Linked DNA regions of Xenopus tropicalis. The protein of the gene in region 1 purifies or fractionates together with the protein of each later gene. This does not show direct contact. Links are inferred from orthologs where the notes say so. Each region holds a gene or a part of one and is shown on either strand. Other genes may lie near its edges.

Region 1 (8,604 bases):
CTTCATCATCTGTGTAGACATATCTCAGATACTGCCAGAACCTTCCCCGGGTCCCATTGTTATGCATGTCGTAGTGTGTGCTATGGTGTGTGCATGTTAATGCAGCAGGTATGGAATTTTGAATGTTAAATGGTATAAGGATGAAGGACTCCCAGCTCATTGCTTGCAGAGTGATCCTTGGGGAGGGACAATTAACTAATTAAGGGTTTATTATTTACATCAATGCTAAGCATTGGGCATCTAGCCATGCCGAGAGTTAAGCTGTCCATACATCGGATATTGGTCACACGGTTAAATAGATGTCAGACACCAGTTGTAGTGACTTCCATTGTAGGTCCCCCCCCCCCAAGGATATCGCCCGATACACAATACATGCATTATCGTTACCCGAAATTTTCTAACCAGGCCGATTGACTAAACCAGGGGTCCCCAACCTTTTTAGCACCACGGCCCGGTAGGAAGCAAAAAGAGGGGAGGGGGGCGGGGCGCGTAATACATGTGACGCACTGGGGGGGGGGTGGGTGTGCTCCAGTCCACTGCCATGCCTGGTGGTTGGGGACCCCTGGACTAAACGACTGATCGCCATGGTACGAAAATTATTGGGACAATAATTCAGACCCACACATCCGAAAATCATATGAAACTGAGTTTACATCTGTATGTATGTATATATATATATATATATATATATATATATATATATATATATATATATATATATATATATATATATATACAGTATATGTATATATATATATATATATATATGTATATATATATGGCCAGCTTTAGAGATGTTGGGCTCCTGGCGAAGGCTGGGGCCCCTTTCCCGGGGGGGGGGGGAGGTAATGCATACATGGGAGAGACAAAGTTCCAGTACTTAGCTTTGTTTTTATCTAGAAGTTATTTTTAGGTGAACTTGCCCCATAATAGGATTTGACAGTCCTGCCCTAGATTATTGTGTTTAGTGTGAGGAGTCACTGACGTCTGTGTGTGTGTGTGTGTGTAAGGGCTACACAATCCAGCAACCTTTGTCCCTGCGTTCCGTACAATTGATTACAGCAATAAGTTTATTTGGATTTGTTATATCCAAGCATCCCAGGGCCACTCTAGTTGGCACATCTCCGAGGCATGGAACCTGCCGCTGTGCTTTATATTTGGCACAAAACGCGCTCTCTTCCTCATTGCGAGTAGCAACCTGCAGTGCTGTGGCATTAGCATATTATTTATAGAAACCCTGCGTCTGGCGTGAAGTCCTTGTCATTCCGGAGAAAAATACAAAATGAGCAAATCTATTAGGGCTGAATATGTTAGGGAGATGGATACCGGCACCAGCGGATACAATGCTTGGGGCACAGTCGGTATGTTCCGCGCACAGCGGCGCTGTAGGAGGTTTGCTAAAATCAATGCTACACCAAAAGGCGCATATACAGAATTACTAAATGACATAAATGACATTTTTACCCCTAATGCAGCATTTTTATGTGTCAGACACATTTGCATAACTCCTGTTCACTTACTAGTCATTTAAGGAGGGCACCCAATAGCTACACAGTTATATAGGGTGACTTCCTAGTAATTATAGGGGTGCACCCAAAAGCTACACAGTGCTATAGGGTGACTTTCTAGTCATTATAGGGGTGCACCCAAAAGCTACACAGTTATATAGGGTGACTTCCTAGTCATTATAGGGGTGCACCCAAAAGCTACACAGTGCTATAGGGTGACTTTCTAGTCATTATAGGGGTGCACCCAAAAGCTACACAGTTATATAGGGTGACTTTCTAGTCATTATAGGGGTGCACCCAAAAGCTACACAGTGCTATAGGGTGACTTTCTTGTCATTATAGTGGTGCACCCAAAAGCTACACAGTGCTATAGGGTGACTTCCTAGTCATTATAAGGGTGCACCCAAAAGCTACACAGTGCTATAGGGTGACTTCCTAGTCATTATAGTGGTGCTCCCAAAAGCTACACAGTTATATAGGGTGACTTTCTAGTCATTATAGGGGTGCACCCAAAAGCTACACAGTTATATAGGGTGACTTTCTAGTCATTATAGGGGTGCACCCAAAAGCTACACAGTTATATAGGGTGACTTTCTAGTCATTATAGGGGTGCACCCAAAAGCTACACAGTGCTATAGGGTGACTTTCTTGTCATTATAGTGGTGCACCCAAAAGCTACACAGTGCTATAGGGTGACTACCTAGTCATTATAAGGGTGCACCCAAAAGCTACACAGTGCTATAGGGTGACTTTCTAGTCATTATAGGGGTGCACCCAAAGGCTACACAGTGCTATAGGGTGACTTTCTTGTCATTATAGTGGTGCACCCAAAAGCTACACAGTGCTATAGGGTGACTTTCTAGTCATTATAGGGGTGCACCCAAAGGCTACACAGTGCTATAGGGTGACTTTCTTGTCATTATAGGGGTGCTCCCAAAAGCTACACAGTTATATAGGGTGACTTCCTAGTCATTATAGGGGTGCACCCAAAAGCTACACAGTGTTATAGGGTGACTTCCTAGTCATTATGGGGTACACCCAAAAGCTACACAGTGCTATAGGGTGACTTTCTTGTCATTATAGTGGTGCACCCAAAAGCTACACAGTGCTATAGGGTGACTTCCTAGTCATTATAAGGGTGCACCCAAAAGCTACACAGTGCTATAGGGTGACTTCCTAGTCATTATAGTGGTGCTCCCAAAAGCTACACAGTTATATAGGGTGACTTTCTAGTCATTATAGGGGTGCACCCAAAAGCTACACAGTTATATAGGGTGACTTTCTAGTCATTATAGGGGTGCACCCAAAAGCTACACAGTTATATAGGGTGACTTTCTAGTCATTATAGGGGTGCACCCAAAAGCTACACAGTGCTATAGGGTGACTTTCTTGTCATTATAGTGGTGCACCCAAAAGCTACACAGTGCTATAGGGTGACTTCCTAGTCATTATAAGGGTGCACCCAAAAGCTACACAGTGCTATAGGGTGACTTTCTAGTCATTATAGGGGTGCACCCAAAGGCTACACAGTGCTATAGGGTGACTTTCTTGTCATTATAGGGGTGCACCCAAAAGCTACACAGTGCTATAGGGTGACTTTCTAGTCATTATAGGGGTGCACCCAAAGGCTACACAGTGCTATAGGGTGACTTTCTTGTCATTATAGGGGTGCTCCCAAAAGCTACACAGTTATATAGGGTGACTTCCTAGTCATTATAGGGGTGCACCCAAAAGCTACACAGTGTTATAGGGTGACTTCCTAGTCATTATGGGGTACACCCAAAAGCTACACAGTGCTATAGGGTCATTACCTAGTCAATAATGGGGTACACCCAAAAGCTACACAGTGCTATAGGGTCATTACCTAATCAATAAAGGGGTACACCCAAAAGCTACACAATGTTATAGGGTCATTACCTAGTCAATAAAGGGGTACACCCAAAAGCTACACAGATCAGCCCCTGCCTTGTCTGTAGGCAGGAGATTTACTTGGATATTATAGTTTCCTTTAAGGGATGGCTACAGGTGGCATGCAGCAGATAGTGGGTGTGGCCCTCTGCGCCAAAGCCATTAATTAACCCATAATTAAAGCAATTTGTAATAATCCATTATTTGATGAAAAGATTAGCTTATCCGCAGGCATGTTTCTGTTCTCTTTCAACAGGTCGGACGTCGTGGTTCTGTGTTTTTCAATCGCCAACCCGAACTCCTTGAACCATGTGAAAACCATGTGGGCTCAGGAAATCAAGCATTTCTGTCCCCGTACGCCAGTCATTCTGGTGGGGTGCCAGCTGGACTTGCGATACGCCGACCTCGAGGCAGTCAATCGAGCAAGGCGGCCATTAGCCAGGTATTGTTTTCTTCTGCACTGGATTGGCTTTACTGTATATATTTCACTTTTGTCATTCAATCCCATTGATAAAGTTAGAAGTGCAGAGATTTCTGTGTGCTCCATTTCTACTTTCACCAAGTGACGTGGCCCAGTGTGTTGTTCCCATTGTACTGTAGAATGGCGTTGGTACAAGCATCCCAATCTAATCAAGTTGGCAGATGAGTGGAGAGCAGGATATCTATCTCCTGCTGCCAAATCCATCAATCCCGAGACAAATTCACACATTCCCTGAACTCGCTAATAACCAATTTTCTCTCCTTTCAAATGTGCCGGCGTTTTGATATGATCCCTCGTGGCATCTGTCTTTGTGAAGGTGTGAAAAATCGCATTGAAAAACAAAAATAACCTTTGCTTATCAAATCCAGAGGTGCTAGAGATGTTTCTTAGGGTGGTTATTCAGCCAAATATTCCCCAGTAACTAATTATATAAAGCAGCATACTAGCATGGATGGCTAGGGCCGGACATAGAGAATAAGGGGCCCCATGCTATGCAGGAGTTTTGGGTCAGCTGATTAACAGGCTTGTGAAAAATAACAGGCTGACTTGTGTTACCAGCAGTGCAAAAATGGCCCTAGGTTCGATTTCAGCCAGGGCACTGTCTGTATATTCTTACTATGTCTGCAAGGGTTTCCTCCAGAAAGTCCAGTTTCTTCCTATGCTCCACATACAGACAGGTTCATGTCTAGAGTGGTATTTCAAAATACAGAGGCCCAAACAGCCCCCCCACCAGCCCACTAAATTGTGACTCTATATGGCATCTTTCAGCAGCCCCTCTGGCATTTGCCAGAACCAACAGATTGCCAGTCTGGGCCTGGGCAGTTTAATTGGCTCTGGATAAAACTAACCCTGGTGTGTGAATATGATAAGGAGATTGTAAGCTTCACTGGGGCAGGGACTGATAAGAATAGGAATATGTGGTGCTTTATAAATAATAATAGTTGTGTTTTCCTTTTATTCTTATAATGACAATATTCTTCTTCTTTACCATTGTAGGCCAATAAAAAGAGGCGATATTTTGCCCCCAGAAAAAGGTCGGGAAGTGGCCAAAGAACTCGGGATACCCTACTATGAAACAAGCGTCTTTGACCAGTTTGGCATTAAGGATGTGTTCGATAATGCCATCAGGGCAGCGTTAATTTCAAGGCGGCACCTCCAGTTTTGGAAGTCTCACCTGAAAAAAGTTCAGAGACCCTTACTGCAAGCTCCGTTCCTTCCTCCTAAAGCACCGCCGCCAGTCATTAAAATCCCTGAGACCCCTTCAGCCAGTATGAACGATGCCGGCGACTTGCTGGACAACCCTTTGTGTTCCGATGTCTTATTTGTCCTTCAGGACCAAAAAAAGATCTTTGCTCATAAAATTTACCTTGCTACCTCCTCTTCGAAGTTCTACGATCTCTTTTTAATGGAACATGAAGAGTCCCGCCATTCCGCCGACAGGTACTGCAAGAAGCTCAACAAGGACTTGCTAATGAGGACATTAAGCCTAGATACGGATGAGGACGGCGATGTGGCTACTTTGAAACCGGCAAATGCCTGTCTACGGACATCAAGGAGCGACGACACATTGCTGACGACGGACTTGAGCGAGGACGGGTGCGTCTCTTTGTCTTCTTGGAGTAAGGGGTTCCACAGCATGTACCAAGAGCTGACGGTCAACCCCGTATCAAACAGACCTTGTCCAATGACCGTCATACGAATGGATTCCTCTATACAGTATGGGCCTTTCAAAACCGTCCTGAGGTTCCTTTACACGGGACAGCTGGACGAAAACGAAAAAGGTCTCATGCGAGTGGCACAGATCGCAGAGATTCTGGAAGTCTTCGACCTGCGCATGATGGTGGAAAATATTACAAATAAAGAAGCCTTTATGAACCAGGAGATCACAAAAGCATTCCACGTCCGAAAAGCAAATAGGATAAAGGAGTGTCTTTCCAAAGCCACCTTTTCAGGTAAGTTTCATGAAACCTAAACTTTCATTTTTAGTGTTACATATGTACATAAAGGCCACACAGTTTGATGGCCAATATCAGGGGTCCCCAACCTTTCTTACTTGTGAGCCAGACTTAAATATCAAAAGACTTTGAGAGCAACACAAGCACCATAAAAGTTCATGTAGGAGCTGCTATTAGGCAGCCTCTATGCACCCTATCAGCTTACAGGGGGCTTTATTTGGGAGTAAATATTGTTTCTATTCAACCAAAACTTGCCCCCAAGTCAGGAATTCAAAAATAACTCCCTGGTTTGGGGGCACTGAGAGCAACATCCAAGGGGTTGGGGAGCAACATGTTGCCCCTGAGCCATTGGTTGGAGATCACTGGCCTATATGCATAGGATTATCATGTATGTGGCAAATAAAGATCCCAAAATGAAAATATTCCCTACCAATTTAACAAACTGCCTGCAACAGTAATCCCCAAACAGTAAATTGATCTCAGAAAACCATATATTTATGGAAATATACATTCTGATAAATCCAAACTATGGCTGCTCCAAACTATGAAACTGTAGAATAGATTATATCCTAATAGACTATGCTTAATGATGTCATCTATTTCAGACAATTCTTAGTTATGTCACTTATCACATGACTAAAACGTCATCTCCAGTACTGGTATAAAACCCTTTTTCTGGCATTAAACTGGTTGAGCTCTGCACTCTATGCAGAGTGCGGCTCCAGTGGGTAAATCACACTTATGGGTCACAGTTAGAGCTTATTTTCAAATGAGAATCTTACCCTTCATCTAGATGGGTCCAGGTGCTCATGCCCCAGACCGTCAGCTTAGGGAGCCAATAGTAGAATCACAAATAGAGTTAGTTGGCAGGCACATCCGGATATCAAGGAACAGAAAAGTTGTCAGGAAGCAGTATTGTAAAATAAGAACTCACAAAGTTTATTTATCCGTACATAAAAAGCAAAAAAATAGGTAGCCTTACGCGTTTCGTACCAAAGGGTACTTAATCATAGGCTGATAATTAAGTACCCTTTGGTACAAAACGCGTAAGGCTACCTATTTTTTTGCTTTTTATGTACGGATAAATAAACTTCTTATTTTACAACGCTGCTTCCTGACAACTTTTTTGTTCCTTGATATCCGGATGTGCCTGCCAACTAACTCTATTTGTGATTTTAATATCCACTCCAGCGGGTGTAAGGCAGGGGTGGTAAGGACAGGGCCCTGTTGCAGCCTGCATCTGTGGGTGCTCCCTTACTTCTGCACCTTGCAAGTTAGGGTATGAAAGGGGAGATGCCTACGCGCCTACCACCGCCCCCTCAGCTCGAATGACAGCAGAGCTGTTTCATGGCACAAATCAGGTGTCTATGCTCCATTTGGGGCACAAAATGCCTTCCTGCGCTGCTCACTTGGTGTGTGTGCCTCGGCAATATGCTCTCCTTTGTTTCCGATTGGAGGAAGGTGGCACCTTCACCTTGATTCACGCTCATCATTAACCCGATCAAGAGTCAGTCTAAAAATACTCTCCCCCGAGATCTAAAAAGACAGATTGCATTTTAATAGCAGTGTGAGGCCTGTGCTATGAGGCTATGAGTGCTATGAAGCTAATGAAGCAGGCAGAAAGGGTGCTAATGCCGCACCAACAGTTTTTTTTCTATGGCAGATTGAAGTGAATTTAATGGGAAATTGCAATTCCTGATTTAATGTTTGGCTTTAGGCACTGACCCGACAGGCCACAATGTACCATTTAGCGTTATTTTAATAACACGCTCTTATGATTAGCGCATTGTTTTTCATACGTTAGTTTATTGCATAAGAGATCAGGGTTAAATAGTAGTGCAGAGCTGTTTCTGCCTCTTAAGGTGGCCATATACGTTCCACAAGGTCGCCAAGCGAGCGGATCATCTCCCTATATCCCCCACCTACGGGTGGGCTATATTGGGTGAATTCAGGCTGATTCGGTCGTTTGGCCCTGGGGCAGATTGTGGCAGATAGTGCCCACCATTGCCTCCTCATTTCTGCAAGTTAGGGTTGAGTAGGGGCATCGTCTTCCCTCCCTTCATGAATACAGCATTGCTGAACACAGGCAACACTGTATTCACGGGACACGTTCACTTCAGAAAAGTGCAGGACACAAGTGTGCAAAGAACAAGGTGGTTTGCACCCATTTTTTGCACTTTGCACCCTGCCCTGCACCTTTAAATTCCTTTTATAACTCCATATTGTAAACAATAACTTTTTAAGGACTTATTAAACATAGCCCTGCTCCTGTCATACCCCTGTGAATCCCCATTGACCCACCCAAAGTGCAGTTGTAGCCCTATTGCCCTATCTAAACTCATTGCAGGGGTGGCCTGAACTTACCATCCAGCCATGGAAAGTGCAGAATTTCCAGCCAGTAAACGAGCAGCTAATGTTTAACGGCAACTCCCTGAACCCCCATACAGCCTGTAGCGATGCTTGGGGATGTTGAAACTGTATTCCAATTGTAGCTTGGGTATCCTGATACAAATACTATAATTCTACACACAGTGTAATTATGTTAAATTCAAAGAAATATTCTCCCTAACTTGCATTTGGAATTCCCCGGGTTTATGGACTGTATGACCTGACTGCCGGGCAGGGTATAATGCCAGGTTAGTGCCGTTTTATTCACTATATTTTCCCTTTCTAGATGTGACGTTTAAGTTGGATGATGGAAGCATCAGTGCCCATAAGCCACTACTAATCTGCAGTTGTGAATGGATGTCGG
Region 2 (4,126 bases), on another chromosome or scaffold:
CTTACTTATTAGCACCCATACTGCTCCATCTAGTGGCGAACGTGCACTTAAACTGCTGCAACGAAGCAGGCAAAGGGCACAGATTATTATAATATATTAAATTACAACACAATTTCTGCCTATTATTTTAACTGGAAAAAAAAAATCCATGTTTTTTTTGTAACTAATTTCAGCTTCCAACTTCCTGGTTCTTGCGAGCACTTTTGGGAGGAAAAAAGTAGTTCATTAGAGCACGGGGGAACAGATTACCCATCAGCGTATCTGTTCGACAGACACAACAAACTGTGGGAGGGGGTTGTTTATACATAACTTACTATCTCCATGAAACGGCAAGTCACTAGTTAGCATTTACCATATATCCCCCGGGAGAGACTGAATTTTTGTATAAGGTCTAGGCTTAATTTAAAAGAACACTGACATGGGAAAACATGTTTGTTACAAAACCCATCAGTTAATAGAGCAGAATCCTGCATTGTAATCTGTTTTTCCCATGGGGCTAGCCATATTCTTCATTTCCCAGGGTACCACAGCCATGTGACCTGTGCTCTGATAAACTTCACTCACACTTTACTGCTGTGCTGCAAGTTGGAGTGATACCACCCCCCCCTCACCCCCAGCAGCCAATCAGCAGAACAATGGGAAGGGAGCAAGATAGCAGCTCCCAGTAGGTATCAGAATAGCACTCAATAGTAAGAAATCCAAGTCCGGCTTGGGACTCCTCCAGTTACATGGGAGTAGGAGAAACAATAGGTTAGCTGAAAGTAGTTCTAATGTGTAGCACTTGCTCCTTCTGAAAGCTCAGACTCAGGCACACTTTACTGCTGCGCTGCAAGTTGGAGTGATACCCCCCCCTCACCCCCAGCAGCCAATCAGCAGAACAATGGGAAGGGAGCAAGATAGCAGCTCCCAGTAGGTATCAGAATAGCACTAAATAGTAAGAAATCCAAGTCCGGCTTGGGACTCCTCCAGTTACATGGGAGTAGGAGAAACAATAGGTTAGCTGAAAGCAGTTCTAATGTGTAGCGCTGGCTGAAAGCTCAGACTCAGGCACAATGCACTGAGATGGCGCCTACACACCAATATTACAGCTACAAATACATTTGTTGGTTCAAGAATAAAAGGTTAAATGGCAGAGGGAATTATTTGCTGTGTAACAGTGTCATTTAATAAATAAAAAGTTCCCCATAAATATCATGACACAATCCCTTTAAGCCCTATAGCCAACATTGCCACAGACCCCCTTGTGTGACTGACATGTTTAGGAAGCCAGGCTATCACATGATAACCGAAAGGCACCTTGGGAAATGCGCAAGCTTAGTAAAGAGCCACAGTGCAGGGTGGAGCAAGATGGCGGCGGCTGCTGCTTCGAACGGCAGCGGGATGGAGGTGGACGTCGCCGGTGAGTATGTAAAGCGCTTGGCTATTGCAAAATGCAGCAGGAGCAAAACAGTTCGCTCTCATATGGAGTTTATGAAAATACACAGGAAGACACCGGCTTTACGCTGAAATCGTTACAGTGAAGCCTATAGGTCTCCATTGGATGCGGGCTTGCCTGTATAGCGTGTGGACTGGTTGTCCGGATAAGGAGGAAATGAGTGGCGCAGCGCCATTGGCTGTGCCAAACGTCAATCAATGGAAACAGGCGCGCAGTAACGTGAAGCGCTGAAGTGAAGCTTTATGTGTGTGAGGGAACAACATGGCTTCTTGGGAGTATTCACATAAATACAGACTTTGAGTTGTGACAGGAAAATCATGTGTAACCAAAATAATGACTGAACTATTACATGCTTCCCTGTGTATTACAGTCTGGCTGTATTTCTGCCAGGGCCAAACATGGCTGCCCAAAGGGCAAAGCCTTCTGCTCTGTCAGAGAAAACACCTGAGGGCAGATACTGTTTGTTTAACTATTCACTGGTAATATGAGCCAGACCTGTCACTTTATGAGGAGAAAAGAGTGACCATAGCTGGTCCAAAACAAATGTAACAATATCTTATAGGTATAGGACCCATTATCCAGAATGCTCAGGACCTGGGGTTTTCTGGATAAGGGGTCTTTCCGTAATTTGGATCTCCTACGTTAAGTCTATTAAAAAATAATTTAAATAAACCCAATAGGATTGTTTTGGCTCCAATAAGGGGTAATTATATCTTAGTTGGGATCAAGTACAGGTACTGTTTTATTATTACAGAGAAAAGGGAATCATTTAACCATTAAATAAACCCAATAGGGCTGTTCTGCCCCAATAAGGGGTAATTATATCTTAGTTGGGATCAAGTACAGGTACTGTTTTATTATTACAGAGAAAAGGGAATCATTTAACCATTAAATAAACCCAATAGGGCTGTTCTGCCCCAATAAGGGGTAATTATATCTTAGTTGGGATCAAGTACAGGTACTGTTTTATTATTACAGAGAAAAGGGAATCATTTAACCATGAAATAAACCCAATAGGGCTGTTCTGCCCCAATAAGGGGTAATTATATCTTAGTTGGGATCAAGTACAGGTACTGTTTTATTATTACAGAGAAAAGAGAATCATTTTCAAAAATGTGAATTCTTTTATTAAAATGGAGTCTATAGAAGATGGCCTTTCCCTAATTCGGAACTTTCTGTACTAGGAAAGCAGCATTAAATGTGTAGAATATGATAAATGCCCACAGTATAGAAGGTAGCTTTTTTTGATATTATTGTACAAACTTCCCCTATGTATTTTTTTTACTAGAACTGTTATTGAACATTTTGTCGTTTCTTTCCTAGCCTTCCCCACTGTCATGGCGCAGGGGGTAACTGGCAGCGTGACAGTTGCGCTCCATCCCCTCGTCATCTTGAACATCTCCGATCACTGGATACGCATGAGATCCCAGGAGGGGCGCCCGGTGCAGGGTAATGTGCCACTATCCCTTCCTCTCATTTCTTCCTATGGATCCTGAGGCTTCACCCACTTACTGACCCCCCTTCCCTCTCCCACCCACAGTTATCGGAGCCCTAATCGGGAAGCAGGAGGGCAGAAACATTGAGGTGATGAACTCGTTTGAGCTGCTTTCTCAGATTAACGAAGAAAAGATCACCATTAATAAAGAGTACTATTACACCAAGGAAGAGCAATGTAAGTGCTTATGTGCCACTAGGGGCACGTACATGTTATAATTCCCACACACAATATGGAAATGGTCATCTTTTAATCACTATATAGCACCTAAAAATGTTGGGCTTAGTACAGGGGAATCCCTATGCTGCCATAGTTTTATGGTATCTCTCTGTACAGGCTATGAGCAAACTTAGGGGGCTGTTCCTGCTGAATTGTGCTTAGTACAGGGGAATCCCTATGTGCCATAGTTTTATGGTATCTCTCTGTACAGGCTATGAGCAAACTTAGGGGGCTGTTCCTGCTGAATTGTGCTTAGTACAGGGGAATCCCTATGCTGCCATAGTTTTATGGTATCTCTCTGTACAGGCTATGAGCAAACTTAGGGGGGCTTAGTACAGGGGAATCCCTATGCTGCCATAGTTTTATGGTATCTCTCTGTACAGGCTATGAGCAAACTTAGGGGACTGTTCCTGCTGAATTGTGCTCAGTATAGGGGAATCCTTATGCTGCCATAGTTTTATGGTATCTCTCTGTACAGGCTATGGGCAAACTTAGGGGTCTGTTCCTGCTGAATTGTGCTTGGTACAGGGGAATCCCTATGTGCCATAGTTTTACGGTATCTCTCTGTACAGGCTATGGGCAAACTTAGGGGGCTGTTCCTGCTGAATTGTGCTTAGTACAGGGGAATCCCTATGTGCCATAGTTTTACGGTATCTCTCTGTACAGGCTATGGGCAAACTTAGGGGGCTGTTCCTGCTGAATTGTGCTTAGTACAGGGGAATCCCTATGTGCCATAGTTTTATGGTATCTCTCTGTACAGGCTATGAGCAAACTTAGGGGGCTGTTCCTGCTGAATTGGGCTTAGTACAGGGGGATCCCTATGCTGCCATAGTTTTACGGTATCTCTCTGTACAGGCTATGGGCAAACTTAGGGGGCTGTTCCTGCTGAATTGGGCTTAGTACAGGGGAATCCCTATGCTGCCATAGTTTTAAGGTATCTCTCTGTACAGGCTATGGGCAAACTTAGGGGGCTGTTC

Evidence for each region.
Region 2: the proteins of rhobtb1 (region 1) and cops6 purify together in Homo sapiens (affinity purification with mass spectrometry; 4 studies listed by BioGRID and IntAct, counting the BioPlex papers as one, with this or other methods). This does not show direct contact. The link is inferred for Xenopus tropicalis from reciprocal best matches to the Homo sapiens genes RHOBTB1 and COPS6.

Annotation. Positions count from the first base shown.
Region 1 is NC_030683.2:16,839,989-16,848,592, reverse strand, and holds part of rhobtb1 (rho-related BTB domain-containing protein 1), read left to right. Parts: intron 1-3,672; coding exon 3,673-3,858; intron 3,859-4,893; coding exon 4,894-5,849; intron 5,850-8,526; coding exon 8,527-8,604.
Region 2 is NC_030679.2:144,242,134-144,246,259, reverse strand, and holds the start of cops6 (COP9 signalosome complex subunit 6), read left to right. Parts: upstream 1-1,326; 5' UTR 1,327-1,347; coding exon 1,348-1,399; intron 1,400-1,667; exon of another isoform or gene 1,668-1,754; intron 1,755-2,758; coding exon 2,759-2,884; intron 2,885-2,975; coding exon 2,976-3,107; intron 3,108-4,126. UniProt on the Homo sapiens protein: Component of the COP9 signalosome complex (CSN), a complex involved in various cellular and developmental processes.